4 linked regions of the Drosophila melanogaster genome follow. The protein of the gene in region 3 interacts with the protein of the main gene of each other region in a pairwise test. Each region holds a gene or a part of one and is shown on either strand. Other genes may lie near its edges. The genes, in order: Sap30, CG30344, sordd1 and ssx.

The links.
Region 1: the proteins of sordd1 (region 3) and Sap30 interact in a two-hybrid assay, tested with the Drosophila melanogaster proteins (one large-scale study listed by BioGRID).
Region 2: the proteins of sordd1 (region 3) and CG30344 interact in a two-hybrid assay, tested with the Drosophila melanogaster proteins (one large-scale study listed by BioGRID).
Region 4: the proteins of sordd1 (region 3) and ssx interact in a two-hybrid assay, tested with the Drosophila melanogaster proteins (one large-scale study listed by BioGRID).

The regions. Positions count from the first base shown.
Region 1 is NC_004354.4:16,785,439-16,792,437, forward strand, and holds Sap30 (SIN3-associated polypeptide 30), read left to right. Parts: upstream 1-1,844; 5' UTR 1,845-2,102; intron 2,103-2,246; 5' UTR 2,247-2,511; coding exon 2,512-2,904; intron 2,905-3,128; coding exon 3,129-3,257; 3' UTR 3,258-4,206; downstream 4,207-6,999. Other genes in the region: CG9609 (uncharacterized protein), read right to left, coding at 41-1,066, 1,127-1,312; Rrp45, read right to left, coding at 4,239-4,279, 4,335-5,075, 5,236-5,692. UniProt on the Drosophila melanogaster protein: Component of the class 1 Sin3A-histone deacetylase (HDAC1/Rpd3) complex (HDAC). Appears to be a non-essential subunit of this complex which is not required for cell cycle regulation of progression through the G2 phase of the cell cycle.
Region 2 is NT_033778.4:9,143,625-9,151,330, forward strand, and holds CG30344 (uncharacterized protein), read left to right. Parts: upstream 1-1,635; 5' UTR 1,636-1,962; coding exon 1,963-2,167; intron 2,168-2,235; coding exon 2,236-2,348; intron 2,349-3,021; coding exon 3,022-3,172; intron 3,173-3,238; coding exon 3,239-3,422; intron 3,423-3,490; coding exon 3,491-3,677; intron 3,678-3,738; coding exon 3,739-3,874; intron 3,875-3,925; coding exon 3,926-4,252; intron 4,253-4,314; coding exon 4,315-4,471; intron 4,472-4,528; coding exon 4,529-4,592; 3' UTR 4,593-4,888; downstream 4,889-7,706. Other genes in the region: shrb (shrub), read right to left, coding at 1-173; Prp38 (pre-mRNA processing factor 38), read left to right, coding at 504-1,496; CG30345 (uncharacterized protein), read left to right, coding at 5,203-5,374, 5,442-5,554, 6,063-6,213, 6,280-6,463, 6,565-6,751, 6,812-6,947, 7,011-7,337, 7,397-7,553 and 1 more.
Region 3 is NC_004354.4:15,792,194-15,799,011, reverse strand, and holds sordd1 (suppression of retinal degeneration disease 1 upon overexpression 1), read left to right. Parts: upstream 1-2,983; 5' UTR 2,984-3,010; exon of another isoform or gene 3,011-3,202; intron 3,203-3,436; exon of another isoform or gene 3,437-3,525; intron 3,526-3,595; exon of another isoform or gene 3,596-3,851; intron 3,852-3,910; 5' UTR 3,911-3,949; coding exon 3,950-4,515; intron 4,516-4,578; coding exon 4,579-4,745; intron 4,746-4,810; coding exon 4,811-4,911; 3' UTR 4,912-5,291; downstream 5,292-6,818. Other genes in the region: sordd2 (suppression of retinal degeneration disease 1 upon overexpression 2), read left to right, coding at 780-1,345, 1,409-1,575, 1,641-1,759; Rhp (rhophilin), read right to left, coding at 5,500-5,703, 5,768-5,920, 5,975-6,300, 6,365-6,494, 6,555-6,802.
Region 4 is NC_004354.4:1,367,535-1,376,421, forward strand, and holds ssx (sister-of-Sex-lethal), read left to right. Parts: upstream 1-3,045; 5' UTR 3,046-3,129; intron 3,130-3,696; 5' UTR 3,697-3,773; coding exon 3,774-3,836; intron 3,837-3,916; coding exon 3,917-4,240; intron 4,241-4,339; coding exon of another isoform or gene 4,340-4,380; coding exon 4,381-4,488; intron 4,489-4,551; coding exon 4,552-4,733; intron 4,734-4,926; coding exon 4,927-5,513; coding exon of another isoform or gene 5,514-5,581; exon of another isoform or gene 5,582-5,623; coding exon 5,624-5,817; 3' UTR 5,818-7,143; downstream 7,144-8,887. Other genes in the region: CG14770 (uncharacterized protein), read left to right, coding at 1,826-1,840, 2,079-2,519; AMPKalpha (AMP-activated protein kinase alpha subunit), read left to right, coding at 8,375-8,653.

The sequences.
Region 1 (6,999 bases), 990 kb from region 3:
CAGACCTTCTCACTCCCGTCCCTTTGAATGGCCTTTTGCTCTACTCCTGCTCCTTTTCCTCTTCATCCTGCAGGGTCTGTGCCAGCAGCTCCTCGACGGGGTCATCCTTCAGCGACTGGGTGATCTTTTCGAGGACCAAAGGCTGTCGCTCGCGCACCGCCTCATCATCTTCCTTGTCCAATTGCAGGCAGGCCAGTTTGGATAGCCTCGAATGTTTGCTGCGTCCAGCATCGCGTCGTCGCTTGCGGGATGTGGACTTAGTTTTGCCCCCTTCTCCAGTCTTACTCTTGTCCTTCTTCTTGGCTTTCAATTCCTTTTTCGTCGCACCATCTTTGTGATCCCTGAGCAGATGTCTCGCCAGATTCTGCGCACTGCTGAAACAGCGGCCGCAGTCCAAGGCCTGGCACTCGAAACGCCTGCCCGAGTGGGCGGTGAGCATGTGCTGGCGTAGATTCCTGAGGTACGAGTAACTCTTGCCGCATCCCTCCTCGTTGCAGGTGAAGGAGGTGGCGCACTCATCCGTCTGCGCCGCCTCCTTGTGCTTCACCTCGAGGTGACGCTTCAGTTCGCTCGGCTTGTCGAAGGCACTATCGCAGCGGTCGCACTTATGGCGATTCTTGCCGTGCAACGAGTCGCGACAATGCTTCGTATACAACGTCCATTTGTCGAACTGCAGCGGGCAGCCGGGACACTCGTACAGCTTGCAGCTGGGCTCGTGACTCTGGCACTGCCACTGCTGGTAGAAGCCGCGCGAGCACTTCGAGCAGCTGTACGGATACTCCAGCGTGTGCTCCCTGATCTCGTGGCGCTTCAGCTTGAGCTTTTGCGAGAATTTGGCACTGCACTGGCTGCACGGATAGACCTTTGGGCTCTCGTGGGTTTCGCGCATGTGGCGGGTCATGTTGCTAACCGAGATGAACATCTTGCTGCACTCCTCCAGCGCGCACTTCACCGTCTTCTTGGCCGCCGACTCCGGACGCTCGTGGGTGCTGCGCAGATGCCTCTTTAAGTGCGTCACAATCGAGTACGTCTTGTCGCAACCCTCGTACGAGCAGGCGTGCTTCTTCTGCAAAGTGGTGGCGGCGTTACTACTGGCTTACACTTAACATACTCTAACTATACTCACAATCCCTGTGTGATGATACTCATGGCGATCCAATTGGTCCAGCCGCTTGAATGTGGCCTCGCATTTGGGCATGCTGCACGCGTACTTGGCCGAGCCGATGCTGTTGCGGCGTCCCTGGCGCTGCTTGAACTCCTCCAGAGCGGTCTCCATATCGCTGTCGCTGGCAATTTGCGTTCCAGGCGGCATTTTTGAGGGTTTTTATCTCCGAAATATTGCAATCTCTTTTTTTTTTGTGTTTTAGGTTACCGCGACATCCGCAAATGTCGTGGAATTATTTGGCCACACTCGTGTACGTGGAAATAGCCAAGGACTTAAGGTTGAAGAGATTGATTTTATTTCAATTTGGTGTAGCAAATCTATAACTTATAGGTTTCTTTTAATTTGGTGTAGAAAATCGATGATGTCCCTGGTAAGCGTTTATGATTTCGTTTTTGGAGAGATGGTAGATTTTTTGGTATTTTTCCAGGGCTGGAAATTGCTGCCTAGCAGTGTTGTACTGCAACAACTGAATAAGATGTACGATACGTTATCGAAAACGTTACATTGGTCACATTATTATTCATTTATTCAAAATATAATTGTCACATACGTTATAGCTAAGATTTTTTTTAATGTGCCTGGGAAAAGTTTGCAGTAACCCCGTTGTTTATTTGCAGAAAATTCTGCGTATTCCTTTTCCCAGTCTTTTTGAATGATTCTGTTTAATTCTCCAACTCACTACGGTGAAAATTCCTTGCGTCGATGCATTTAACAAATATATGCTTGTTAGTCCCCCGTCTCAGAAACTACAATCAAGAATTGGTCTGAAGACGAGTATAATAATATTCTATATAGACAAGCAGTCAGATACGCCTGAGAAAAAGGAAATTCAAATTTCATTGCACTAACGTGAGCTAGTGATGACAAAAACGGTAATTGGCTCAACTATCGTACCGGTGTGCGGTACCTATCGGAATTGGAATCAATGCTGGAAAAGGTAACTATATTTTGGTACACGGTATTTTTAAATTTAAGTACTGAAATTAACTAATATTTATTTAATTAATATTTTGTGCGATTATTAATACCAATTAAAAAATATTGATCGATAATCTGGAAAAAAATGCACTTGATATTTAAGATATTTGAGAAACTGCAAACAGTTTCAAATTGTCCGCTCTTGCCAGCTGCGGAGGAATTTCCCCATTTCCCAGTTTGGTCACATCGCGCTGTCGAAAGAAAATTTTTTTCTTGCAAAGAGAAACAAAGCAAAGCAATAGTCGAAAGTGAGAAAGACGAAAGAGGAGACAAAGGAGCGAAACGGAGAAAATCAGAGAAGCAGCAAGCAGAGCAGGAAGGGGGATTGGATAGGAACTCGAAAGCAATCGGCCAGGATCGGGAACAGGATGAACAACGGATTCAGCACCGGCGAGGAGGACAGTCGCGGGCACACGGACCAAACGTGCTGCCTAATCGACGACATGGAGCGGTGTCGCAACCAGGCTGGCTACGCCAGCTACTCCAAGCGCATCCAGAAGACGGTGGCCCAAAAGCGGCTCAAGCTCAGCAGCGATCCGGCCGCGCAGCACATTTACATCTGTGACCACCACAAGGAGCGCATCCAGTCGGTGCGCACCAAGCGTCGGCGCAAGGACAGCGAGGACGACAGCAACGAGACGGACACGGACCTGCACGAGTTCCCCGATCTCTACCAGCTGGGCGTGAGCACGCTGCGACGCTACAAGCGCCACTTCAAGGTCCAAACGAGGCAGGGCATGAAGCGGGCGCAGCTGGCGGATGTAAGTTTGACCTAGTTAACGAATTGAGCAGGCTATGTCCACTTTCTGTTGCCGGATTTCAGTGGGGTAACACGCTGGTCTAATGTGCTCCGTGATGCTCCATAGTTGGCCCTCTTGTAGTAGCCTCCACTCTAAAGAAAAGGCAGAAAAATGTGCCATGCCCTTTATAAGGTTTTCTAAACCCTGTTTTAATCAAGTTGCAAACCTCTACTCTTCTCCCGCAGACAATTATGAAACACTTCAAGACAATACCCATCAAGGAGAAGGAGATCATCACATTCTTCGTGTACATGGTGAAGATGGGCTCGAATAAGCTGGACCAGAAGAACGGCCTTGGCAACGACACCACCTGAAGGCGCGTCGGCGGGCGGAGGGAGGAGGAGGACGCCGACGACGTCTACTCCTTTTAACGCTGGCCAACTGCCGATCAAAAGAAATTAACAACCAAACTTCTCACATTGTTGCTGCATTTGCTGGACGTCGGCATTGTTGACCAGAATAGGGATGAACGAGAATATTGATAGTGCAATGGCTCATCCTCATCCGTGTGACCCCCAAGAAACCCAATCCTATACCCATAAGCCACCACTGCCCAAACCCTTAAGCCTTTCCCCCGACTCCCCGGAACACAAGTAATATGCGAAAAGTAAAACAGCAATGAAAGAACGTAAGGAAGAAGGCAACTGGTGCTCCCACGAAAAACAAAACAAACAAAAATTAAAAATAAATAAACTAGTATGTTGCGAAAGTGAGTCTAATATTAAAAAAGAAATTTACAAAAACTATTTGTAGCCTTGGTCCGTTGTTAATAGCTCTTTATACACGCACTACATTAAATAAACTATGTAAATTTACAAGAGAATTAACAGAAAACACAACACACTCAATCAAATAGCAATTCGTATTCTTAGGCTTAAAGACATGTTTATTTGATCGTTTGTATTATACATCATGTTAAGTGAAGTGGGGCTCTGGCTAGACATCAGTTAGTAGTAACCAGATACTTTAAGCGAATCAAAACACAATTAGACTTCAATGTGAAAGCAAATTGAATCCGGAAGCCAATACCAATTATCGCTACAAACAGAGAAATAACGAACGAAATAATTTGCAATATTTAAACTAAAACATCGTGTCGTTTGCCCCGGCGGTTTGGAGATATATTTAGAGCTCTAGTTTAAGCCTAACTTAGACGAACATCGGTTCCACAAATCAATTGGAATTACGCATTAAACGATTTATGTTAAAGCCTAGACTGATTTTAGCCATACATATAAGCCTAAATAAAACTTAATAGAAAGCATTTTCTCTTAACTACACGACTATCACAACGGCTAGATGTATCGCTTGGCTTCCTCCTCGGAGTCGCTGTGATCTGGAGAAGAATCAATGCGTTATTAATGGGACTCCAGCCATGATTGCCAACTTACTTTGCTTCCTCGGCGGTGTCTTTTTGTTCGCCTTGTATTTGCCGCGACTTTGTTTGCCTTTAAGGCCTGCCTTCGATGGGCTTGCTTCCGAGCGCATGGGCAGTTCCTGGGAGTCCTCATCGTGTGGCAGCCAGTCGCTGGTGTCCATCGGTGCGCCAGCACTTTCCTCTTTGGACGGCTCTTCGTTGGCCACAGGCGTCTCACTGCTCTCGTTATTATCCAACTGCATTTTCTCGCTTGGCGGAGGTTGCTGCTCCTGTTTCTGTCTGCCCATCAGTTTGTTGTAGCTCAACTTGTGCTCCGTATTTAAAATCAGTGCCACCAGCCCATCGACCGATTGATCGCCCTGCGATCGACACTCTTCGTCCAGCGCCAAAGCTTTGCGTACGAAATTCAACAGAGACTTGCAACGAACCGCCGCATTGCGGGCACACTGCATGATGATGCGGGCATTTGTGGGTGCAGTGCCTCCGGCAGTCAGGCTGCACAGCTCCTGGAAGGAGTTAAAGCTCAGGACAATTACCGAATCGGCGGCGTTCTCCTCCAGCAGCGTAGGATCCAGTATTGGTTGCACACTGCTCTTGTAAACACAGTAGGTTACACTGACGGGATAGTGGTGGAAAAGCAGTGGAATGAATTCGCGCTCCTTTTTCTTAAAGATGCGCAGTTCGCCGTCCTTATACCAGACATCCGGTCGACGGAAGTGCATCAATGCAGCCAAAGTGGCTATGGTGCTGGCGTCTATAAGAAAGAATTGAGATATATAGATATATAAAAATATAAAACTAATATGAAGATTATTCTTTAAAAATGAAAGTATGGCCAAAGTATGGCTCCAACTGATAGCTTTTGATCATTTGTGAGGTAATCACGCTTTTCATCTTGAGATTGGTGCTTTTACCATACAGATTCCCGTCGTGATTGAGCACATTGACGTTGACACGGATGCACCACACATGCTTCTCGACGGCCACGCACAGAGATTCCAGATCGATGCTTCTAGAGCTGCGGAAGGTCCTCTCGAGCAGGGAGTTCAGTTTTAGCGATCGCTGGTCATGTGTGGTATGCGCCTCGTCCAGAAAAGCAACACCGCCAAGATATACGTTCAGGTGGATTTTGCCTTCGTTGGGCCGCGACAAGGCCGGCGGTCCCATTTCGCAGGTCACTTGGGCCAGTACCTTCGTATCGCCCATGGACACCGCCACGGAGCCCCAATCCTTGCCGAAGGTCAGCTCCACATCGCGGGACTCGTTGGAGCGCCGCCCATCGAGGCGTTGGTTTTGCTTCACCGCCAATTGGACGAAGCTTCGCTCTGGCTTCGATTTGCCCGGCTCGAAAAAATTTGAGTTATGGAACATCCTGGGTATTCGCTGGGAAGGATCCTTTCGATTTGTTTTGAATTCGTTTGGGACTGAATTTGGCCGGCTTTTAAAAACGTGCAGAGCGCGGCGTTGCCACTGCGATCCACATACATGCTGATCCGGAACTGGTTCCACGGAACTGGAACCATTAAAACGCATAATAAATATTTAGACATTTTTTTAGTTATGTGTAATAAGAAGACGATTTTATGGTGCACTACAAGGTGGCTTTTAGCGCCATAAACATTTAGGTATATTTAAACTAGAGTTTAAATTTTGCACAAATAAATATTTTTTTTTAGGTCGTTGGCTATCTAAAAAATAATTATTCAAATGCCTATACAGCTTATTTGGCATACAACTTAGGCAATAACTATGAAAGTAATGCACTAATTCAAGTTCTTCAATAGTATTGGCGATATATATACATATGTGTGCAAATTGTTTAACGTTTAACAGATGGCAACATTATTTTTATGAATTTTTTACTGGTTCACAAATTATATATATATATATATATATATATATATGTACGCCAGCCAGATTGGATTATCAATATTAAGTATACAAAGACTACAACATAAAAAACATAAACGTTATATAGTTTTTATGTTCCAAAACGCAACATATAAAGAAGAGTATTTTAGTATCATAAAATTACAGTTTCAAGCACAAAATATAGTTTGTAATAATGATTTCTATTATTTTTAAATAACAATCTAAAATATTTTAGGAACATAGTGATTCGTGACTGGTTCGCCACATCAAAACAATTTTGTAAGCCTAGGAGCCTATAGATAAATTAGTTCCAAAATAAAATGCAACACTTCATATTTAATTCAATAATTTTACACCAGGCATTAGTTGGAATTTTTATTTGTATTATCTTTAATTTTAAAAAGTAAAAAATAAGTGACTGGTTCACCAGGATCAGAACCTGCTACCGGATTGAAAATCGAACTAGAATGCCAGCAGCGGTGGCTCGACAGTTTTTCCAGATCTAGCAACGCCGTCGCTGAGTGTCGTTCTTTTTTGTGCTGGTTTACTACGTAAAAGTGTTGCTCGCTTTACGTTCGTGCGATAAATAAATTAGTATCATTCCCAACCGGTCGTCCAGAGTAGCTCCTTCTTGGGCAGACGGTCGAAACGAAGGATTGCCATCCGATTTCCTGGCTAAATCCGATATCGAAACCAAGAGTTTGGTCCAAAGTGCGTGCGAGTGTGTTGGTGCGTTTCATTTCGCGTGCGAGTGTGTGTGTGCGTGTGTCGTCGTAGCAGCAGCGCCAGTGGAGGAAGAAGAAGCA
Region 2 (7,706 bases), on a different chromosome or scaffold from region 3:
TTGTTTTTAGACGCATTCTTGCGGGCTATATTCAGTTCGTCCTCGATCTTGGCCTCCAGGAACTCCTGCTTTTTGATAAGCATGTTCTCCGTCTCGCGCAGCTTCTGTATCGCCTCGCCGGTGGTGGGGGCCACTTCCTTCTTGCCGCCGAACATCTTCCCGAAGAAACTCATCCTGGCTGATCTGTTTTTTCACCCGAATTTAGCGAACAAGTGAGTTTTTTTCTGCTATTGCGTTTCTTGGTTGTCTGGGAGCTGTTGTTCGTATGCGTCACCCGATACCGATTGCCGTCCCCTATCGTTATCGCCTTTGTGTATGCGCTTGGCGGAGTGGCATATTTCTCCCTTACGCAGCTGGCCACTCTGGTTAGCAAACGCCGAAAAATAAATAAATATATTCGGTGCATTTTCACATTTTGCACTGCTGCCAATAGATACCCGAATTTCTGGATTGAAAAGTCCTATTTGAGTTACGATTGACAAGGAACAAGGGTTCAACTGAAAATGGCCAACCGCACGGTGAAGGAGGCCAAAAACGTGCACGGCACCAATCCGCAGTACCTCATCGAGAAGATCATCCGTTCGAGGATATACGACTCTAAGTACTGGAAGGAGCAATGCTTTGCTCTCACTGCGGAGCTTCTGGTGGACAAGGCAATGGAGCTGCGATTCGTCGGAGGCGTCTACGGCGGCAACATCAAGCCCACCCAGTTCCTCTGCCTCACACTCAAGATGCTGCAGATTCAGCCGGAAAAGGACATCGTAGTGGAGTTTATCAAGAACGAGGAGTTCAAGTACGTTCGAGCATTGGGAGCCTTCTATCTACGGCTCACAGGAGCTGCCCTGGACTGCTACAAGTACCTGGAGCCGTTGTACATAGACAATCGAAAGCTGCGCCGCCAGAATCGCGCCGGCCAGTTCGAGATTGTCTACATGGATGAGTACATTGACGAACTGCTGCGCAACGACCGTGTCTGCGACATTATACTGCCCCGCATCCAGAAGCGCTCCATTCTCGAGGAAAACAACGAAATCGAGCCCAAGGTGTCAGTGCTGGATGAGGACTTGGACGACGAACTGCCCAGCGACGAGGAGAAGGCAGACGAGACCAACCGGCCTAAGGAGAATTCGACAGCAGTGAGACGACCACGGAGAGTTCGCTCCAAGTCAAGGTCCCGCAGTCGGGAGCGCGAGCGAAGATCTGGGCAGGGCAACAGCGCCCGTTCCCGGGATTACTACGACGAACTGGAAGACTACGACCGCCAGCGAAATAGGGTGCGCAATCGGGACACCCACAACGAGGACTATGACCGTCGGCAAAACAATGGACGCCACGATCGCGAACGAGAGCGCCAAGATCGCGACAGTATCAGGGAGCGCGAGAGGGACGGCGACAGAGATCGCCGGGATAGGGAACGAGAGCGAGAACGTGACCGTGGCCGTCACGACCAGCGGGAACGGGACTCGCGAGGAGAGCGTGACCGACGACGCTACTAAAATTATAAATAAATTGAATTAATTAACCAGTAAAAAGTGTCAGAAAATTTAAACCACAAACTCTCAATTCGCCGCAAGTTGGCATCCCTAGCACTAAGAATCGAAAATCGAAATCAAAACAATAACACAGAAGAAGAAGAAGTCAATCAGCTGTTGCTGCTTGCATTTAGAAAGTTTCGAATAGAGTAACGTTAACTGCGGGAGAATCCAGCCAGCTGTACTTGTGAAAATAATACACGTACCAGGGATTTAAGCAACAATAAATCCACGTTAATCAGCAGTAAAGCAGCTGAAGCTTTAGTATCTGAAAACTCTCCGTCGCGTTTGGAAGACTTTCAGGGAACTGCGCAGCGTTCTGGTGAATGAATTGTAAATTCCATTATCTCCGGTAGACTGGTGTAAGCCAGACGCATCCACGAGTTCCGTTCTCGATAGCGAGCAAGTAGGAACGGAACGGAACGGCAGTATGCCTCGCTCTGATACGGAGGCTTTGGTGGCCGATGTGGAGACTGGCGAAGATTCGGCACCACGCATACTGGACGCATCATCTGCGGCCAGCAGTGAGCAGGTGGACCCGCCTCCGGTACCGCCGCCTCATGACTACAGCAGCTATCGCTGGTTCATCCTGGAGCCCGCAGTTTTTTTAATCTTCTTCGCCAGAAATTTAATTGGTATAATGGCTATAGGGCAGTAAAACCGATTGGATTGCATCATTGAATTAACTTTGTGTGCGTTTTAGGGGCGGTTTATCAGAACCAAATTCTCTACCAAACCTGCATCACCATCGAGAAATTCAATGCCACGCAATGTGAACCGCTGCTGGGCATTGATCGCGGATCGGACGCGGATAAAGTAAGTATTTAATTTGACCCTTATAGTATACACATCATGTACAATTTGATATCTGTACTTTGTGTAGTTTCTGTTCTCGTTGCCTGGTTTTTATCTCTGTGCAAATTATTTTTGCTGCTTTGCTGGGCGTTTCGTGTTGTGATTTTATGGCGATGAGGAAAATGGCAATTTTAAACAAATTTATCCAGTAACTGTAAACAAAAACTGAAGTTTAAGTTACAAAAACTGCTGAACAATTTTAAAACCACAATTAATGTATCACAATATTAACTTGTTTTACGAGTAATTGCTACTATTATGACCTTTGCTGTATAGAACAATGTATTTCGCATTTGGCTCGCCGATATTCTTCCAAGACGTGACCTACTTAGTATATCTTACTATATCAGCATCCGACGTGACAAAGTAAAATCAAATTAGCAAATCGTCTCAACCTAATGCAAAACTGCCATTGTTTGGAGGCTAGAGATAAGGTAATTAGAACGCCAGTCGAGGCTTATCAACGGCCGGAATAGAAGTAAGCAAAATCCTTTGTTACTGCATTTCGAAGCAGTATCGAAGTATTTACTAGGAAAGCGTTAAAATTATAATTATACGTACGAGATATGGCACATTGACTCATCCACAGTTGTACAGTTGTGCAGTTTACTAAAGTGAACTTCTGTTTTTTCAGGAAGTCGAGGTGATAGTACAGACGTATTCTGCAAATATTATGATGACAACCTCTCTGCTAGAGAGCATTATTCCTGCCTTCGCGAGTCTGTTCCTGGGTCCCTGGTCCGACAAGTTCGGAAGGCGGCCAATCCTGCTGACAACTTTTACGGGTATATAATCATCAGTCAGGACATCTTAATTGCATCTTGTACAAATGACTCTTATTGTATTTAAAGGCTACCTCACTGGCGCACTCATACTGATAGTAATCACTTACATAACGAGGTCCACGAATATAAGTCCATGGTGGTTCCTCCTTTCCTCGGTTCCTTCCGTCGTAAGCGGCGGAACTTGCGCCTTGATTACTGGAATCTATTGCTACATATCCGATGTGGCCAAGGAGCGAAAGAAGGCTCTGAGGTGAGTATGGGTAGTCTTGATTTATTAATCCAAAGAATGCCATTTCATTTTGATATATTATTTGAAAGAATGGTCCTCAATGAAGCCTCCCTCTGTGCTGGCATAATGGTGGGCAATGTGGCCAGCGGTTATATCTATGCTGCCACAAATGCTCTGGTGTTGTTTTCCATTGCTGGTAGCCTGATGATGTTTGCCTTGATGTACGTGCTTCTGTTTGTACCTGAAAGCCTAAATCCAGGTGACATTCACACCGGAGTAAGTAATTTCTATAGCTAAGAAGAAACGAATATCTCAACACTCCTTCCCTCATTTTTAGTCGCGAGTCCGTGAGTTCTTCCGTTTCGATTTGGTCACGGACCTGATTCGCACCTGCTTTAAGAGGCGCCCCAACTTTGATCGCACAATCATCTGGCTTACAATGATTGCCCTTACGATAGCCATTTTCGACATGGGTAACATAATTCAAACTTAAGATTATATGAGTTAATTTATAATGATTTCAGAGGGAGAGAGCACTGTAAATTACATGTTCGTGCAGGATAAATTCAACTGGACCATTAAGGACTTCAGTCTATTCAACGCATCCCGCATCGTGATCCAGATTGTGGGCAGCATCGTTGGCATGTTGGTATTGCGCCGCGTTCTAAAGATGTCTATCGTAACCATGGCAATGCTCTCCCTGGCTTGCTGTGTTCTGGAGAGCACGGTTCGAGCCACAGCAGTCTACTGGCAAGAGCTGTATCTGGGCATGACGCTGGGTATGATGCGTGGCGTCATGGGACCTATGTGCCGCGCGATTCTCTCGCACGTTGCACCCGCGACTGAAGTTGGTACGTACCCAAAGTGTTTAGCCTGCAAATACCATTAACTAAAACCATATGAAATAATTTAGGCAAGATCTTTGCTCTGACCACCTCCATGGAATCGGTTTCGCCACTGGGCGCTGCACCTCTGTACACAACCGTCTACAAGGCAACTTTGGAAAATTATCCCGGAGCTTTCAACTTTATTAGCGCCGCTCTCTACTTTGTGTGTTACATTCTGATAGCGTAAGTCCTACCAAGCACAGTTCAAGTCCAGTTTAAAGCGAATACTTTTCAATACAGCGTGATCTTCGGCATCCAGAAGTCGATGGGTAGTAGCAGTGTCTACCAGGCCATTGGCAGCTAACAAACTCTCCAGAGCACCGATTTAGCTGAATGTATCTCATAAGTTAAATTCCTTCTGCAGGCGCTGCGAAGAGCTCTCGTTTTAAAAGATTAGAAACTATTTGTGTAAATTAATCTAGTGTTTGTACTCCTTGTATATTTTTGCAAGTATTATTATGATTTTGATCAGTGTATATGTATATATATACTATATCTGCTATTTGGACTGTGTTTTGCATGTGCAAGCATTGTAAAGTTAAGAACAAAAGATTTAACTGTTTGCAGTGTGACAATAAAGTGTGAATACATCGAGCATTCAATATCTTTGAGCATAAATCGAATGGGAATTGTGTGTCGCGATGTGAGGTTTCTCGAGAGGGAGCCGCTCGAGCGTTCGTGCGCAGATAGGGCGCAGCAAACGCTTTGGTTTGCTCAAATTGGCAATCGCTTGCTTTGTTTGTTTACGTCGTCTATTTCAGCTGCTCCCTCCAGTTAGTCTATCACTCGAGTTCGGCGCGCACAGATGTTTAACTCAGTTCCCGCTACGATATATTGCTTGGCTGAATGAATCGTTAATTCCTTTGTCTACACGATAATTGCTGCGATCACCGCGACCTTTACTGAACCACAAAATGCCGAGAGATGATGAGGAGCCAATTATTGGCGCTGATGATGAACCGCTGGACATCGAAGTGCGGTCGCCGCCACCCAGCAATAGGACATTCTCTAGCTGGCTAAAACGACCCCGCTCGCTTATTTTAGAGCCCGCCGTGTTTCTGGTTTTCTTTGGCAGATTCCTAACAGGTGTGTACATACATGTATGTGTTTACTGTGTTGTGGGGGCGTTTATAAATCAGATTGTTTACATCAGATGCCGTTTACCAGAACCAGATACTCTACCAGACCTGTGTCACGGTCATGAAATACAATGCTACCGAATGCGAGCCATTTCTCGGTACGGATCGTGCCTCCGATGAGGTTAAGGCAAGTTGAAAAGCAATAGGCGTATATGTATTTTTATGCATAAACTTTAATGAATGCGATTTCAGTGATTCTATAATTGCATTTCAATTAGAAGTCATTGTTGTGGGAAAAAACCATTCTCGGTTTATATACATTCTTATTGTTTTTCCTTTGTGGGTTCAAGTGTGATTCGTTCCATATGCTTGTTAACATTAGATGCGGATTGAAAGCTATGTATTGCTGGTATCTTAAGTTAACTTATACTGAAGAACCTTTGTCGCACCTGTTTTTGCTTATCAGTTGACCGCAACAAAAGTAAACCCAAATTGTTTATGACTAATGACTCGTCTTATCACAAAAAGTTATCGACCACAGTACACAAATCGGGAATAATATTTCGACATGCATGTGTGCAGATATTTAAGCCCGGCCAAAACACCTAGTGAGTCATGGAAACGTGACGACCGCTTGACGGGCTTATCAGCCGGCCTTTAGAGAATCCCCTATCAACAGAGTTCCCATTTTGCAGAAGATTGAGGGGCAAGTTCAGGAGTATGCCTCGACCATCACAATGATAAGCTCGATGCTCGAGAGCACCGTTCCCGCCATAGTAAGCCTCTTCCTGGGACCCTGGTCAGATAAGTTCGGCAGAAGGCCCATCCTGCTATCCACGTTTACAGGTGAGAATGCCATATGATAATCTCATGATCTAGTGAACTCTATAAAGTATCAGTCTTATTTTGTAGGCTACCTTTTCAGCGCAATCATCCTGGTTGTTCTTACTCAAATAACGACTGCTGTCAATATCAGTCCCTGGTGGTTCCTTTTGTCCTCTGTGCCATCGGTGTTCAGCGGAGGCACCTGCGCCCTTATCACCATCCTCTACTGCTATGTATCCGATGTGGCCACCGAGAATAAGCGGGCCATGAGGTGAGCGTTTCAAAGAGGTTACTTCGATTGAATCTTATTGAATGAATTCGATGAACGTTTGATCTAACTATCTTATATTCATTAATCCATTTTTCTCCCAGAATGGTGACCATGGAAGCTGCCCTTGGCCTGGGCATGATGGCTGGCGGAGTAGCTAGTGGCTATATCTATGCGGCTACTGGAGCTTCAATACTCTTTATCTTGGTGGGATCGATTATCTCCATTGCGCTCTTATACGTATATTTCTTTGTGGCCGAGAGTCTGAAGTCCGAAGATTTGGAAACTGGGGTAAGTACAATGTTCTCAATCAAATGTCAACTGTTACTTAATTACGTAATTATTGCCCAGTCCCGAATCCGCGAGTTCTTCCGTTTGGACCTGGTTAAGGTCCTCGTAAAGACCTGCATCAGGAAGCGCGAGAACTACGATCGTGCTATCATCTGGTTTGTGATGATGTCGCTGACACTGTGCGTTTTTGCCATGGGTGAGTGACATTGATATAGATGCTTGCTCCAGACGAGGAACTTACTAGTCGGTCGCATTCCAGAGGGCGAGTCCACAGTGAACTACATGTTCATGCGGAAGCAGTTCGATTACACGGTCCAGGACTACAGTGTGTTTAACGCGGCGAGGGTGGTCATTCAAGTGGTTGGCAGTACCATCGCCATGATCCTACTGCGCCGCCTTTTGGGACTGTCCACCATCATGATGACACTCCTGGCCTTCGCCTGTTGTGTTCTTGAGAGCACGGTCAGAGCCACGGCCGTATACGGCAGCGAGATGTACTTGGCCCTCATGGTGGGCATGATGCGGGGCGTCATGTCGCCCATGTGCAAGGCCATCCTGTCGCACGTGACTCCCAGTTCGGAGTTGGGTAAGTTGGAGGAGAACACGGACCTTCTATATATGTTCTAATACCTGTTCCATTCGTAGGTAAAATCTTCTCGCTAACTACTTCCCTGCAGTCCATTTCCCCTTTGGGAGCGGCACCTCTCTATACGGCCGTGTACCAGGCAACAGTTAACTTCTATCCGGGAATCTTCAACTTCATCAGTGTGGGACTGTACTTCCTGTGCTTCTGCATGTCGGCGTGAGTTTTCCTTTTGAGTTCCGAAAATTATATGAAGCTCACTAAGTAAATATCCCATTGCAGCGCGGTATTCGGCATTCAAAAGTCAATGGGCAGCAACAGCGTTTACCAGGCCATAGGCAGTTGACCCAATATAGTTGTGAACCATTCATA
Region 3 (6,818 bases):
AGGGCAAACAAGTCAGGTTTTGCAAACAATACACTTACAATGTAAGTAATTTTGAGAAGTTATACTATTTGCTGTGCCACAGGAAGTTATATATAGTTTAATTAAGTTATAATGCGTTTAAACGCAATCCCTGGAACTCGATGTATATGAGCATATAATTCCCCTTGACTCCAATAGGAAGTGCTCCATGAAAACATTATGTGACATCTATACGTACTGTATAAATAAGCATATAATCGGTTCCAATGTACATATGTAACAGGTAGATGGAAACCTTCTAGCCCTATATACACGCGAGTGTTTGAGTGTGTAGATGTGTACATAAGTACGCACATAAGTCCAGGTACATATGCAGGTATACCGTCTTGTTTGCCAACGCAATTCAAACAAAATTTGACTTTTTTGTTTAATTTATGTGGGTGCAGCCAATGGGAATGTTCGGTGCATTATCCTTGAAGACTTGGTGGTAAATACGCCCTTTGGGCGGTTTTCGTAGCCATAAACACCACCCCATGGGGTCGGACAAATGCTGAATGCTGCGGAACTCGGGGGAAACCCCCTTCAAACTGCGCTTGAAGTATTTAATTAAATTAAGTCATATTCAAGAAAGTGCGGACCTTAGTTGTACACCAGAAATGGCCTAGGAAAATCATCTAAGCAATCTAGGCACTTGTCAATAGGGTGAACACAGACTTACTTAGCAAATTTGGGTTTCTAAATCATCCAACGTTACGTTGCAGCTTGAACGACTAAAACTTTACCCGCATCTTGGGCAAACCATGGAGGAACCGAAAAGTGTATCCACAGCGGAGCTTCCCAGCACATCAACCGGGGCATCGTCGTCCTCATCGACTTTGTCCAACAACGTGAGCTACGACAAGATAGCCTGGACTCGGGATATCACAGAACCCTTGGCTGAGGAGTCATCTACAAGTCAATTGCGCCCGCTGGGTACCTCGATTCCAACCAATTCGACGGCATCGGAACTGAAGAAGTCCAACACTTCGTATTCCTTTACTGGAGACTATCTATCTGGTGGCAATAAGGCCGATCTGAAGGGTGGCTATCCATTCGGCGGCACCGATACGGACACAAAAGCCAACGAAAAGGACAAGGAGAAGGAACATACCGCAGACGACTCACTCTACGAGTGCAACATATGCCTGGACACCGCCAAGGATGCTGTGGTCAGCATGTGCGGCCATCTGTTCTGCTGGCCGTGCCTGCATCAGTGGCTCCTGACGCGTCCCAATCGCAAACTCTGTCCCGTTTGTAAGGCTGCCGTTGATAAGGATAAGGTCATACCGCTGTACGGAAGAAATAGTACACACCAGGAAGATCCACGGTAGGTTTGAACCGCTTTCAACATGAGTATTTTTCAATAACCCAACTTATATGTGTTTTGCAGTAACAAAGTTCCACCACGCCCCGCTGGACAACGTACAGAACCAGATCCTGTTCCCGGGTTCCCTGGATTCGGATTCGGCGACGGATTTCACATGTCTTTCGGTATTGGAGCTTTTCCTTTCGGGTTCATAACATCTAGGCTCAACTTTTTCGAACCACGTCCACCTGGTAGGTTACATGCCATCTCAATAGTTCTGAGATTGACATTAAATAACATTTGCCCATGTATTTAGCTGATATTAGAAGGCTACACGAAGATGAACCCTGGGCCCTGTCAAAACTGTTCTGGCATTTTGTCGTTTTTGTGATATATGGGCTGCTCGTTCCAATAGTGCACGGATCATCCCGATAAGAAGAACCTATATTCAAATGTCAATGGAAAGCGTGCGAAGTAATCAAATAGCAGTATCCTCCAGTTAAATCAACAATATTGTTAAACTCGTTGGGCTATAGTCGTTGGTGTGATTAATTAACATAAATTGTTAGCATTCGGTTATAATTGTAATTTGAGGATTCGCAAAACAGAAGTGGATTGGGTCCCAAATTATTTCAAAAAGTCTGCAATACCCTACGACTTCAGCATAAAAAACTGAAATTTCGAAATAATTGGATCGTAATGATTTAATTCAAATGTAGATTTCAAAAATTGTATAAATTTATATTTTAAATTCTATAAAACATTAAAAACATTTATTTTAATTTATTTTCCGTGTAGATTATTATCGATGGGTGAAAAAAATCATTAAGTTTTTGCTTAACTTAAACTGCACAACATTCTTTTTAGGGATCAGGGATAACGTGAATTTCGAAGATGCTGAGGATATGGATGCATGTATGTACATGAAGATATCGGCTTATCTTGAGTATGAGATGTATGATATATGTACCTTCTACCGATCGCTCTAGAAGATCGCCTCCTTTAAGTGGGCCAGTTTGTTGGCAATGGAGGGGGACGCCTCATCACTGGCTCCATAATTGGCTGTGGTGATGCGCTCCACCTCCTGGGAATTGCCGATAAAGGATTCTGCTCCGTGCCAAGAAGCTCACTGCAACCAGAGTCACCAATGGAACATATAAATTGAAAAAGTTTTAAATTTCGTTTGCTTTGTTTTGAAAGAAGCCAGTTCTAATTAGGGATGGTCACGTGATTTCTGCACAGTGGGTGAGCTATCGATTACGACTTAAACGTTTATAGATGCATTAGCGTTGTACAAATCAGCTGTTCCTTGTTTTGGTTTAGTCTAATATCAATAAAATTATTGAATTCTTGACCTTTGTTGTGACCAGATCGTTAGGAACTAGAGATAGTCGAGTGAGTCCTGCTATCGATTGTCCATGGCACACAACAGCTGCTTATGAATAGTATTTAGTCTTGTAAATGTATTTAGTAGTTTATTTTGTTTACAAATCAATCGAGGACTGATCACTGATCACTTTTCAAAGGATTCATTGAGATCCGAGATTTTTCACCTAACTCGATAGTTATCGAACGCGAGCGTGGACTTTGGTCCGGTGGAGACGGGCTGTTATACAGGCAGCTATTTACCGATAGGGTAAAGGTCTATCGGCCTCGGTCAGGTATCGTCAGTGCAGTTGTTTTGAGGTGCTAAGACGTCAATTGATAAATTCCCAATTTTACCGTAACATAACACACTTGTCCACACAATCAATTTAGCAACATTCTCTGATTCGGTTTAACAATACTTAGCACGGCAAGTAGAAGCAAACTGTGAGCGAAAACAAACAATAAAATGAGGGCAAACAAGTCAGGTTTTGCAAACAATACACTTACAATGTATGTAATTTCGAGAAGTTATACTATTTGCTGTGCCCCAGGAAGTTATATATAGTTTAATTAAGTTATAATGCGTTTAAACGCAATCCCTGGAACTCGATGTATATGAGCATATAATTCCCCTTGACTCCAATAGGAAGTGCTCCATGAAAACATCATGTGACATCTTTGACATCTATACGTACTGTATAAATAAGCATATAATCGGTTCCAATGTACATATGTAACAGGTAGATGGAAACCTTCTAGCCCTATATACACGCGAGTGTTTGAGTGTGTAGATGTGTACATAAGTACGCACATAAGTCCAGGTACATATGCAGGTATACCGTCTTGTTTGCCAACGCAATTCAAACAAAATTTGACTTTTTTGTTTAATTTATGTGGGTGCAGCCAATGGGAATGTTCGGTGCATTATCCTTGAAGACTTGGTGGTAAATACGCCCTTTGGGCGGTTTTCGTAGCCATAAACACCACCCCATGGGGTCGGACAAATGCTGAATGCTGCGGAACTCGGGGGAAACCCCCTTCAAACTGCGCTTGAAGTATTTAATTAAATTAAGTCATATTCAAGAAAGTGCGGACCTTAGTTGTACACCAGAAATGGCCTAGGAAAATCATCTAAGCAATCTAGGCACTTGTCAATAGGGTGAACACAGACTTACTTAGCAAATTTGGGTTTCTAAATCATCCAACGTTACGTTGCAGCTTGAACGACTAAAACTTTACCCGCATCTTGGGCAAACCATGGAGGAACCGAAAAGTGTACCCACAGCGGAGCTTCCCAGCACATCAACCGGGGCATCGTCGTCCTCATCGACTTTGTCCAACAACGTGAGCTACGACAAGATAGCCTGGACTCGGGATATCACAGAACCCTTGGCTGAGGAGTCATCTACAAGTCAATTGCGCCCGCTGGGTACCTCGATTCCAACCAATTCGACGGCATCGGAACTGAAGAAGTCCAACACTTCGTATTCCTTTACTGGAGACTATCTATCTGGTGGCAATAAGGCCGATCTGAAGGGTGGCTATCCATTCGGCGGCACCGATACGGACACAAAAGCCAACGAAAAGGACAAGGAGAAGGAACATACCGCAGACGACTCACTCTACGAGTGCAACATATGCCTGGACACCGCCAAGGATGCTGTGGTCAGCATGTGCGGCCATCTGTTCTGCTGGCCGTGCCTGCATCAGTGGCTCCTGACGCGTCCCAATCGCAAACTCTGTCCCGTTTGTAAGGCTGCCGTTGATAAGGATAAGGTCATACCGCTGTACGGAAGAAATAGTACACACCAGGAAGATCCACGGTAGGTTTGAACCGCTTTCAACATGAGTATTTTTCAATAACCCAACTTATATGTGTTTTGCAGTAACAAAGTTCCACCACGCCCCGCTGGACAACGTACAGAACCAGATCCTGTTCCCGGGTTCCCTGGATTCGGATTCGGCGACGGATTTCACATGTCTTTCGGTATTGGAGCTTTTCCTTTCGGGTTCATAACATCTACGCTCAACTTTGGCGAACCACGTCCACCTGGTAGGTTACATGCCATCTCAATAGTTCTGAGATTGATATTAAATAACATTTGCCCATGTATTTAGCTGCTAATCGGGGAACAAGGCAATACGAGGATGAACAGACCCTGTCCAAGCTGTTTTCGTATTTGGCCGTTGTGTGGATATTGTGGCTGTTCTATGCATAGCAATCTGCGAACGCATAAAGACATCACCCCGATAAGAAGAACCTATGTTCAAATGTGTATGGAAAGCGTGCGAAGTAATCATATAGCAGTATCCTCCAGTTAAATCAACAATATTCTTAAACTCGTTGGGCAATAGTCGTTGGTGTGATTAATTAACATAAATTGTTAGCATTCGGTTATAATTGTAATTTGAGGATTCGCAAAACAGAAGTGGATTGGATCCCAAACTATTTCAAAAAGTCCGCGATACCCTACGACTCCAGCATAAAAAACTGAAATTTCGAAATCATTGGATCGTAATGATTTAATTCAAATGTAGATGTCAAAAATTGTATAAATATATATTTTAAATTCGATAAAACATTAAAAACATTTATTTCAATTCATTTTCCGTGTAGATTATTATCGATGGGTGATTGGGAGCGATTGAATCAATAGGAATAAAATAAATTATGGGTATAATAGAGGGGCTTTTAAAAAATCATTAAGTTTATTGCTTAACTTAAACTGCACAACATTCTTTTTAACTTGAAATGGCCATTGCCTTAAGAGCAAAAAAATAAAACACAAAATAAAACTGATGGCTACTTAAAATATTTTAGCTAAGCTAGGCGTTCGCCGAAACGGATTCCACGAACTGGATGAAACGCTGCCAGCGGGTCGCGAACTAGAGGATGTTTTCAGGTGGAGCTTGGGCTTGGCCGCAATACTTGTGGGACTGGGAAATCCGGATGAAATGCCCGATGAACTGGCCGCCGATAGCGTTGATAATGAGCCCTTCGACGACAATGGCTGTGCGTAAACAAGGTGAATTTGTTTGCTGATTTTTTACGTATGATTAATAAACAAAATGCACCTTCAAGTAGTTGCGATCCATGGGCGTTATCACTCTCAGCTCGAGTGTAGAGCCGCAGGATTGTATGAGCTGCACCACCTGCTGATGGGAGTACCACTTCACGTCCACGCCGGCTATCTCGACTATGAAGTCTCCCTCCTTGATGCCGCCAAGCTGAAAATAATGCCTACAGTATACGACGAATCGATGGAAGTAGCATTTACTTACGTCTGCCAAAGAATTAATCTCAACGTGGGCAATGATCACCGGAGCATCGCCGCGCACATGGAAGCCAAAGTTCTCAAACTCCTCCTTGTACAGATTGTATCCACCATCGTGCTCCTCGTCATCATCGTTATCCAATGGGCACTTGTTGTCATTGCTGGGCACGCTGTGATACAGGGAGGAACCTTTCTGGAGACGCACACATCTGGGCGCTGTCCAGTGGCGTCTCGCCGAGAATATTGCAATCGGGCCGAGGCGCTTGAAGGGATCCTTAACCTTGTGCGATGTGAAGTCGGGTCCGGTCAGGGATAACGTGAACTTCGAAGATGCTGAGGATATGGATGCATGTATGTACATGAAGACATCGGCTTATCTTGAGTATGATATATGTACCTTCTACCGATCGCTCTAGAAGATCGCCATCTTCGATATTTTTGGCTGAAGCTTGCAGTCTGAACTTCTCGAGCTCCTCCTGCGATTTGGAGTGCACCTCCTTCATGACTTCAGTCAGTGATGCCTTGTTCTTAAAGATTAAAGTTAAAGGTTAGGTTATTAGGCTATAGGATATAAGAAGTATATTTACCTTCAAGAACCGACACATCCGCTGCAATCGCTGGGCTTCCTCGATACTGGCCAGCGCCTCCTTTAAGTGGGCCAGTTTGTTGGCAATGGAGGTGGACGCCTCATCGCTGGCTCCATAATCGGCTGTGGTGATGCGCTCCACCTCCTGGGAATTGCCGATGAAGGATTCTTGGTTCTTTTGACTTGACTTTGATGCCTTCAGCTCGTCTGTCGCATCTATGCTCCGTGCCTTGTAGAAATGTGCGAATGCTGTTGGCGTTTACAA
Region 4 (8,887 bases), about 14 Mb from region 3:
TGATATACTTAAGGGCTCTATGGACAGCAAAGCAGTTGTAGTCGGATATGGTTTTCGGAGAGTTTTTTGATGAGACCACTAAATATCTCGGATTTTTGCACTGCGTTTCAGGGAGGTCTGGGAAATCAACTTGTAATTTTTGAAAGGGTCTTTTTTTCTTAGCTTTGGGGCTAGCGCTGAGACTGGCAAAGCGATTATCCCCCAAATTGAGTGGCCCGGGGGCCATGGTTAATAAATTTATGGATATTGAATGTTTTTGATTTGCACGTACGCGTTGATAAGAAGATCAAGAAGATAAGATGATAAATATCAATGTAACGGCGATGGTAATTACGCGATAAGCAAAGCTCACACAATTGGAAAGACACAGACGTCCGCACTCGAAGAGAGATAGTCGGTGACTGCGTATCCTAAATTAAAAATGATAAATTAAGCTGGGTGCTCGGTTCTTGGGAGTAGGATCTAAGCATAGAATAATGATGGGGGACTAGGAAACAAGCCTTTTACTGGATTCCCGAACCAGTTACGCTATTCCTTTAATTTTTACTTCACAGACTTGGTAAGCAGCACTTCCTGTCAATTTATGGAGTTATATAAGGAGATTTATCGCCGGATTGATAATTAAAACTGCTCGACATGTCGGGTGCATGTTGGACATGGACTCGGCAGACTGCAGACTGGCGGCGTGGTGGCGTTGTGGCTGTTATGCAAATCGTGCGACTGGGAAAGCAGTTTACTTTTACTTTTCAAATCGATTATATGTGCACACAGCCGCCATTTCGTGCCCGCCCAGAGCACACTAACCCACTAAATCGCTTCAAGTGGTATTTTGGCATTCGGAACGAAATGGGTTTGGGCTATGCAATTCGCGAGCTTCCCAAGTGGAGTCGTTAACCCGCCGCCGAAGTCATTATCTAATGGTAATGTGCTGCATTTTAATTGCTCACTTCGTTCGTTTATCGATCGAAGTGGACGCACCTTTCACCCGACACTTGCAGCTTGCAGTGGGGATTGCGAAAATCCCTTCTCTTCATCTCAATCCATCATTAATCCATTCATCATTAATCATCAATCATCAGGGATTGGCCCATGAGTGAACTGTCGCGAGCAATCGGGAAGTTGTCTATCGGTGGCTATCGTTGGGATTGGGAAAACGATTGGCAATGGTGATAAACTAATAGAATTGCAATTAGCCTATAGATGGTGTTTACTGCCCGATCATTAGTGCTTGTCCTTGGAATTCAGAAGGATCTTTCACGTGGGCAAAATTGATTACATTGGGCCTCTCTTTCCGTTTTGTGATTTTTTCTATTTGCCTATCTTTGACCGTCTAATTGCCTTGCACTTGCATCGAATTTTTCAACGTCAACTGGTTTTTCAACTGGGTGGTTGTTAACCCGTTGATTGACAACGGGTTTCGGTTTCTCCTGCGCAGGAAACTGGCCGCCGCCGCAGCAAAGGCCACATGCCGTATACGTAATCCGCTTTAATTGAACCACTATCGCACGCACCTATTTTCCAAATTTTCCAAACAATTGTGGCAGGCAGCGGTCATAAATTACAACAACAGACTGAAGTTCGTTGCCGTGTGTTGCCATTGTTGCTGGTGTTGCACATTTCACATTTCGCTTGCCACAACTCCAGCTACAGGTTGGCCAGCGTTGGTGGGATTGGCCCAAACCGGGTATAAATCGAATCTGGTCCCGAACGCAGAGCCACATTCAGTTCGCCACTGCCAAGAGGAGCACTTCGCGTAACGGTCTACAGTTTCGAATATTTTTTTTGATTGTGCCCCAGTGTGTGATTCAAAAGCAACCAGAAAACCATGCTCAAGTTGGCTGTAAGCACCGAAACACTTTACAAACATAGATTCGTTTAATGGAATGAACGTTTTCAAGTCAATAAGATAGTTTATGAAAAACAAGAACCAAATATTTCTGAATATTTCGGAATGGAAAATGGAATGCATGTTCTGTTTTTCAACCTCACCACCTCATTAACAACTTGGAAATATATTTAACATTAGATTTTTAGTTTAAAATGGAATACCGCATTGACTATATTACCCATTCCTGCAGATTACCTGCCTGGCCCTTCTGGCCGTTAGTGGAGCTCTGAAGATCCACGACTACCACCAGGGGCACGAGGAGTACGAGCACCACGACCATCATGAGCACCACGAGCCGGAGCACCATGTGAAGTACGAGCCGGAGCACGAGGAGACGGAGCTGCACCACGAGGTGGACCACAAGCACGCCACCTCGCACCAGAGCGTCAAGTTCCACCACTACCATGCCGTGCCCGTCTACATCAAGAAGGAGGACCAGCACCTGGTGAAAAAGCCTATCGAGATCGGCGGCACCAAGCAGAAGCTGAAGATCCTGCACCCGAAGAGTGAGCACAACCACAACCACGGACTGGTGCTCGAAAACCACAGCGAGTCGCACCACGAGCACGGCCACTACGAGGAGCCGGTGCACCACTCGGAGCACTACGAGCACTACTCGCACCACGAGTAGGACTTGGACTACCAGAATCGGAAATGCCAAATGAGCTGTGGGGATTTCGTTAGCGTTTAAGGATTTGCTACGTTAATTTTCTTGTGTTAATAAAGCGTTGACCTAGAGTATAGAGTACCACCCAAATCAAGAGATCTTATATTATATTGCTTAAACTTTTTTGATTGCTCCACTCTGAATTTGCCACAACTTCTTTCACAGTGTATTTAACTGCTCAGGTGAACTTCGATAACGATCTATCAATAATTGAACGCGCAGGCAATTTATCGCACCACGACCGCTTGTGGTATTTCTGTGTTCTGGTATATTTTTAGGTTCAACCCTGGCGAAAAATTGTTTTTGGCATAACTGCTATAAAGTACTGAAGAAATTCAATAATAATCTTAACAATGGCAATTAGACAAAAAATGGTTTAAAACACTTGATGCCTTCCAGAGGCGGACGGCATGAGTTATCGAACTATCAAAGAACTGCTGGCCCCGATAGGTTCCGATACAAATCGCACCGCTATCGAAGAAGAATTGACTTCCATTGTATATCGTTTGGAAACGCAAGAAGTGCACAAAACTCGCTGCTTTCCGGTGCAGTTTGTGAAGAAGTTTGCTAAAAAGTGAGTATTTTGCACCTGCAGAGTATTCCGTGGCCGCCGCTGGCTGCTTCCCGAGGACTCCGTGCTGCCTACGCTTTTTCGTGTTGCTTTTTTCGGCTGCACGGCCCCAAGCCAAAAAACACGGACGCATCGCCTGCCGTGTGTATGTGTGCGTGCGTGTATGGGCGAGTGCGCGAGTGTTGGTAGTTACTTTTCCAGCAGCTTTTTCCAAGTATTGCGGGTAGCGCCGGAGTTGCTATTGGGACTCCCTGGTACGGACCCCTAAAAAGACCAGGGGCGGGCAGTGGCAGGCTACCGAGTGCAACCGCATTCCAGCAAAGCTGGCGCCCTCCGTCCGGCTCCTCCCCCTTGGCTCGGCTGCCGAGATGTACACACACATATTCGGATTCTGATTTTGCCGAGAGGAAGTGCAGTTCCGGAGTCCCGAGTGTGGAGCTGCGCTCAATCTGCATCCTGCAGCCGCGCAACAAGGAGCATCGCTCGTCCCTACTGCGACTCCTAATCGGAATCCCTCTTGAACTTCTTCTTGGCGAACTAATTGATTTGCACTCTCTTGTATCGTTGCAGCTCGTGGCGCCAACTGCGACGCAAACACGCAAGAAACCCAGACAAACAGGAGCTATCAAGGCTTGACACAGAAGGTCATGTCCAACGCGGATAAGATGCAGGACCAGGAGCACGACGACGAGCAGTCCTCCGACATAGAGGTGAGTTTTTGGATTCTCTTAGCGAGCCGACGAACCTGTTTTCACGCGTATATTCCCGACTATTCGCTGCTTCGGTGCAGGGATCCGGCGACAATGTGGGCCGTGATGACGGCACCGACGATGACGACGACAGCAACGGCAACATGCAGCAGGAGAATGGAGATGGCGGCAACGGTGGCGACGGCCAGGAGCACTCTGGCGACGAGGAGCAACACCACAGCCAGGACAACGAGGGCAACGATAACTCCGCAGGCCAACAGCAGCAAATGCAGCAAGTGGACCGAACCAGCGCCACCAATCTGATCATCAATTACTTGCCACAGGACATGACCGACCGCGAACTGTACAACCTCTTTAGCGGCTGCGGGCCCATCAACACCTGCAAGATAATGCGCGACTTCAAGGTAAGTTCGGTTGTGGCCGCCTGAGCGCCCAGAATACCTGCTGAACTGCACGTAACAGGTGCCATCCCTGTCGCACGTTGCATGTACACACGAATGCAGCTTACACTCCCCTCTGCTTTGTATGCCCGCCAACGGAACAGACCGGATATAGCTTCGGCTACGGCTTCGTGGACTACAAAACGGAGTCGGACTCGGAGGACGCCATCCAGAAGCTAAATGGCTTCTATGTGCGCAACAAGCGATTAAAGGTGCGTTAGAATCCCCCGGAATTCCCATGACTCCTTTGTGACTCTCTTTTTCGTCTCCCTCAGGTGTCGTATGCTCGACCGGGTGGGCAGTCCATTAAGGATACGAATTTGTACGTCATCAACCTGTCGCGAAACATCAACGACGACATGCTCGACCGCATCTTCTCGCCCTATGGCCTGATTGTTCAGCGAAACATCCTGCGGGATAAGCTCACTGGACGACCGCGCGGCGTTGCTTTTGTGCGGTGAGTACGGGTGCGATCTGCGTGTGCAGCATCCACGATTCGAAATTAGGTCACGGTGCTCAATTCCCGTCCAGTGTGCCCCACTTAATTGTATGCTCACAGAAATCCACGTCCAAATTTATCATGAGTTCGACTGGTGGCTGAACTGCACTTACTTCGATTCTGCTTTTGAAACCCGCTTTCTTGCTTGCAGTTACAATAAGCGCGAGGAAGCTCAAGAGGCGATCAAGGCGCTGAACAACACGGTGCCGGAGGGCGGATCCCAGCCAATCTGGGTACGACTCGCCGAGGAACACGGCAAGGCCAAGGCGGCCCAGTTTATGGCCCAGATCGGAGGTGGCAATGGTGGCGGAGGCGGTGGTCCGCCCCACATGGGCCCAGGTGGACCGATGCACCCACCTCATCACCACAATAATCACCATCACAACAACCACCACAATCCGCATATGCCGCCGCATCATCATCAGCCGCAGCATCCACACCAGCATCCGCAGCACCATCCGCAGCTGCACCACATGCAGCACCACCATCCCAACAACCACAACAACAATCACCCCAACAACCACCATCATAACAACAACAACAACAACCACCACAACATGGGCGGCCCGCATCCGCACCACATGCAGCAAATGCACCCGATGGGCATGAACATGGGCATGGGCGTAAACATGGGAATGGGCATGGGCATGGGCATGCCCATTCACGGAGGCGGCGGTGGTGGTGGTGGCGGCGGCGGTGGAGGCGGTGGTGGTAACTTCCACCACATGGCGCACAGAGGTAGATCAAATAGAACAACACGATCTCAAAAACCGCATCCATATAACCATGCACAGAAATTTATTTAAACGCCATTAATTTCTTTACACGATATTAGCTGCATCTCACAGGTGAAGTGTTCATGCTGCCATTGCCGATTTGCAGCCGATTCCCCAGCCAGCCGCATCCCGTAGGCAATGGCATTTGCCACAGCCCCAACAAGAACAGCAGATTCCGTTTAAGCCGCCGCCCGCAAGCCTCCAGAACAACCATCAGATATATTGCGCATTCGGTGGCAGATCCCGTTCCCACTCCGACTACCTAGTGCCGCTCTACTTTCCAGCCCCCGCCCATCCATCAGTTGTTTCCATCTCCTCGCCAGCTGCGTCACTTTCGGCCTACCCAGCTGTTTTGGCCGTGTATGTTCCGGTATATGTCACGGTTCCGGTCTCTCTTCCTGTTACCATGAACAGAGCCAGTCCACAAGCTTAAAGTGAGTGCAGACGGAGGCGGCGGAGGCGGTGGCCACATGGTAGAAGCGAGTAGAAATAGATTGAGTGCAATCGGAGGAGGGAAGAGGAGATATTACCCAGAAGCGATATCCAATAGTAGCCAACTCTCTCGCTCTCTATGTGTATGTATGTATCTTGCTATCCATATATGTATATCCATATCAGAGAGCCAGGATTGGTTGAGACCATACGATATAACCCGAAACCACACTGGCCAGGAATAGCAAATCCAAGCATTGGCAGCAAGAGGCAAAGCAAAGGTGCACGGCAGACATAGGCAGTACCACAAGAACACTATCACAGAATTAAGCAGAGCAAATTAAAGATGCATAGCGTGTATTAAGATGTACGAAATAATGTTCCAAAGTTAACCAGCCTACACAATCCCCAACAACACACACACACACACACATAAAGACGGTCGGAGTCGAATCCTTGATCGAACCACATAAGAAAAAATTCCAATGAGTTTGTATGAGCAACATACAAAGCCCCAAACGCAAACCATCAGCCACTCAAGACGAGACGAGAACGCAACCAAAACTCAAATATAACTTTCCTGCACTCATCTCCAGTTCACGAAACAATCTTCGCTCTTGGTGGATTGCGAATTGTAAATGAATTGAGTAACTGCACGGATGCAAAGCCCCAAGATGTGGCGACTATTCCGGCCGGACACTGTGAGACGGACGTTACACACACGGATATATAGAGAGACGAACCTTATGACAACAGACAGAAGACGCTTGCTCTGAATAGATGGTTAATTTGTAGACTTATAAGGAACGTCGACAGCGAGGGTTCGTTCGCGTCACTTGCTTTTTACTACATTATAAATAAATTATTGATGTACTACCAACAAACCAAGAACAAGAACACCACACTATACAAACACCTATATATTAGATAATATATATGAATGATGTATAAATACCCGAACTTCGGGTAAACTTCCAACAGAAACCCGACAAGAAGATGGCTGAATATGAAATAAACTTGAAATTTTCCAACCAGCATACCCGTGAGACCCAGAGGTCCGAAATTTTTTTTTTTTAGTATTGATAATCTCTAAACGTAAATCCTAGTCTCGTAGCAATATCATAGTTAAGGTGACTTTTTTTTCAGAATAAACTTAAAGCACGAAAGAAATACATGTATTTAAACCTTAAATCCTAAAGTTTATAATAAACGAACACAAATTGAATTCTTGAGTCTGCGAGCGAGATGGTGCGATGCAGCCTCAGCGAAAGAGAGCGAGAGAGATGATACAGATTTGAGGTACAGTCAGCACAGTACAGTGCGGATCAGAGCTTAAGTTGACGATATACTATTGTTGTAAATTGATGTTAGGCTAAGCAAATAAATAGTTAAAATGTTCAATTTTCGCTTAGCTGAATCCTGATCGTCGTAAAAACGCATTTACACGAACATTATATACTAGTCATTAAGCGGTTCTATTTGACAGGTGAAAACAAGAAGCTGTGGCAGCCTTTTACTACAGAAACTAAAAAAGAAAAATACAAAGCTTGACATATACACGCATATTTGTGAACAAACTGAATTTTACCATACATCTTTGAGAATTTTAGGACAGTATTCTTGATAATCTATATTGAATGTTGATCTACACTTAACGTTGCACAAAAGAGGTATCTTTCTGACCTTCTATGCGCGTGGAGTGGATCCAAAAAATCAACTTGGTGTAATAAATGTGTATTTAAATCACAAAACGGGCATCTTTTCCCTTTCAATTGGACATCAGAGAGTTTCGACAACGCACACCTACTAGTTTTTTTGCGAGCTTAACTATTTCAAATGTGGTTGAGTAAAGCCATTAATATTGCTTTTTATAAATTCAGCATAAGTGGCAAGATGGTTTTAAATTGCGCGCCACTGCGGAACTACCTGGCATCACTGGCCGCCACTTATCGATAGCCACTGGAAGGCGAGAGAGAGAGAGAAAGAGAGGGCGCGAATCAGCTGCTGGAACGAGTGTTGTTGGAAGGCAGTGTTGTTGGAAGTGGCAGCGCCTTCCAATGTCAATTAAATAAGCAAAACGCGAAGAAAACCCAAGCGTAAAGGAGAGTCTCGTTGCCGCGCTCGAATAGAAATCCAGGAAATCAGTATCAATTCAACCGCCCTTGACACATCCACAACCACTTTGACATCCGAATCCGTATCCGGGCGAGGTGGCACGGCTGGCAGGAAGAACGTAACGTGAGTGGCTGCTCTATTCTATTCTATTCTGTTGATTCAGCGGAGTACACTACGCAATAACCGATAACGACCTTACCACCGCTCCCCTCTCCGCGCCCATCCGCAGCGGAGCAGTGGAGCACCCCCAGTCCAACAAGGAGCTACCTGCTCGAGATGCCCCAGATGAGGGCTGCGGCCGCTGAGGCGGTGGCCGCCGGCAGCGCCAATGGCCAGCCGCTGGTCAAGATTGGGCACTACCTACTGGGCGCAACCCTGGGAACGGGAACCTTCGGCAAGGTGAAGATCGGCGAGCACCAGATCACACGCGTCAAGGTGGCCGTCAAGATACTCAATCGTCAGAAGATCAAAAGCCTGGACGTCGTGGGCAAGATCCGGCGTGAGATCCAGAACCTAAAGCTCTTCCGCCATCCGCACATCATCAAGTTGTACCAGGTGAGTTCATGGCTCCAAGCTTAGACTTTCTAAGTCCAAGCTTTCCAGGAAACTGGGTTACTGGTTTCCTCTTCCAATTACGCTGGCCAGCTACTAATAACAAACAATCAAGCCGCAGTTTAATAAACAAAAAGGCAGGATATGCCCGAAGGGGGAATAGCTTTTCTATAACAACATTTTGGAGGTTTGTTTATCTATAAAGTACACGGTCATGCCTAGTCATCCGAATTTTGT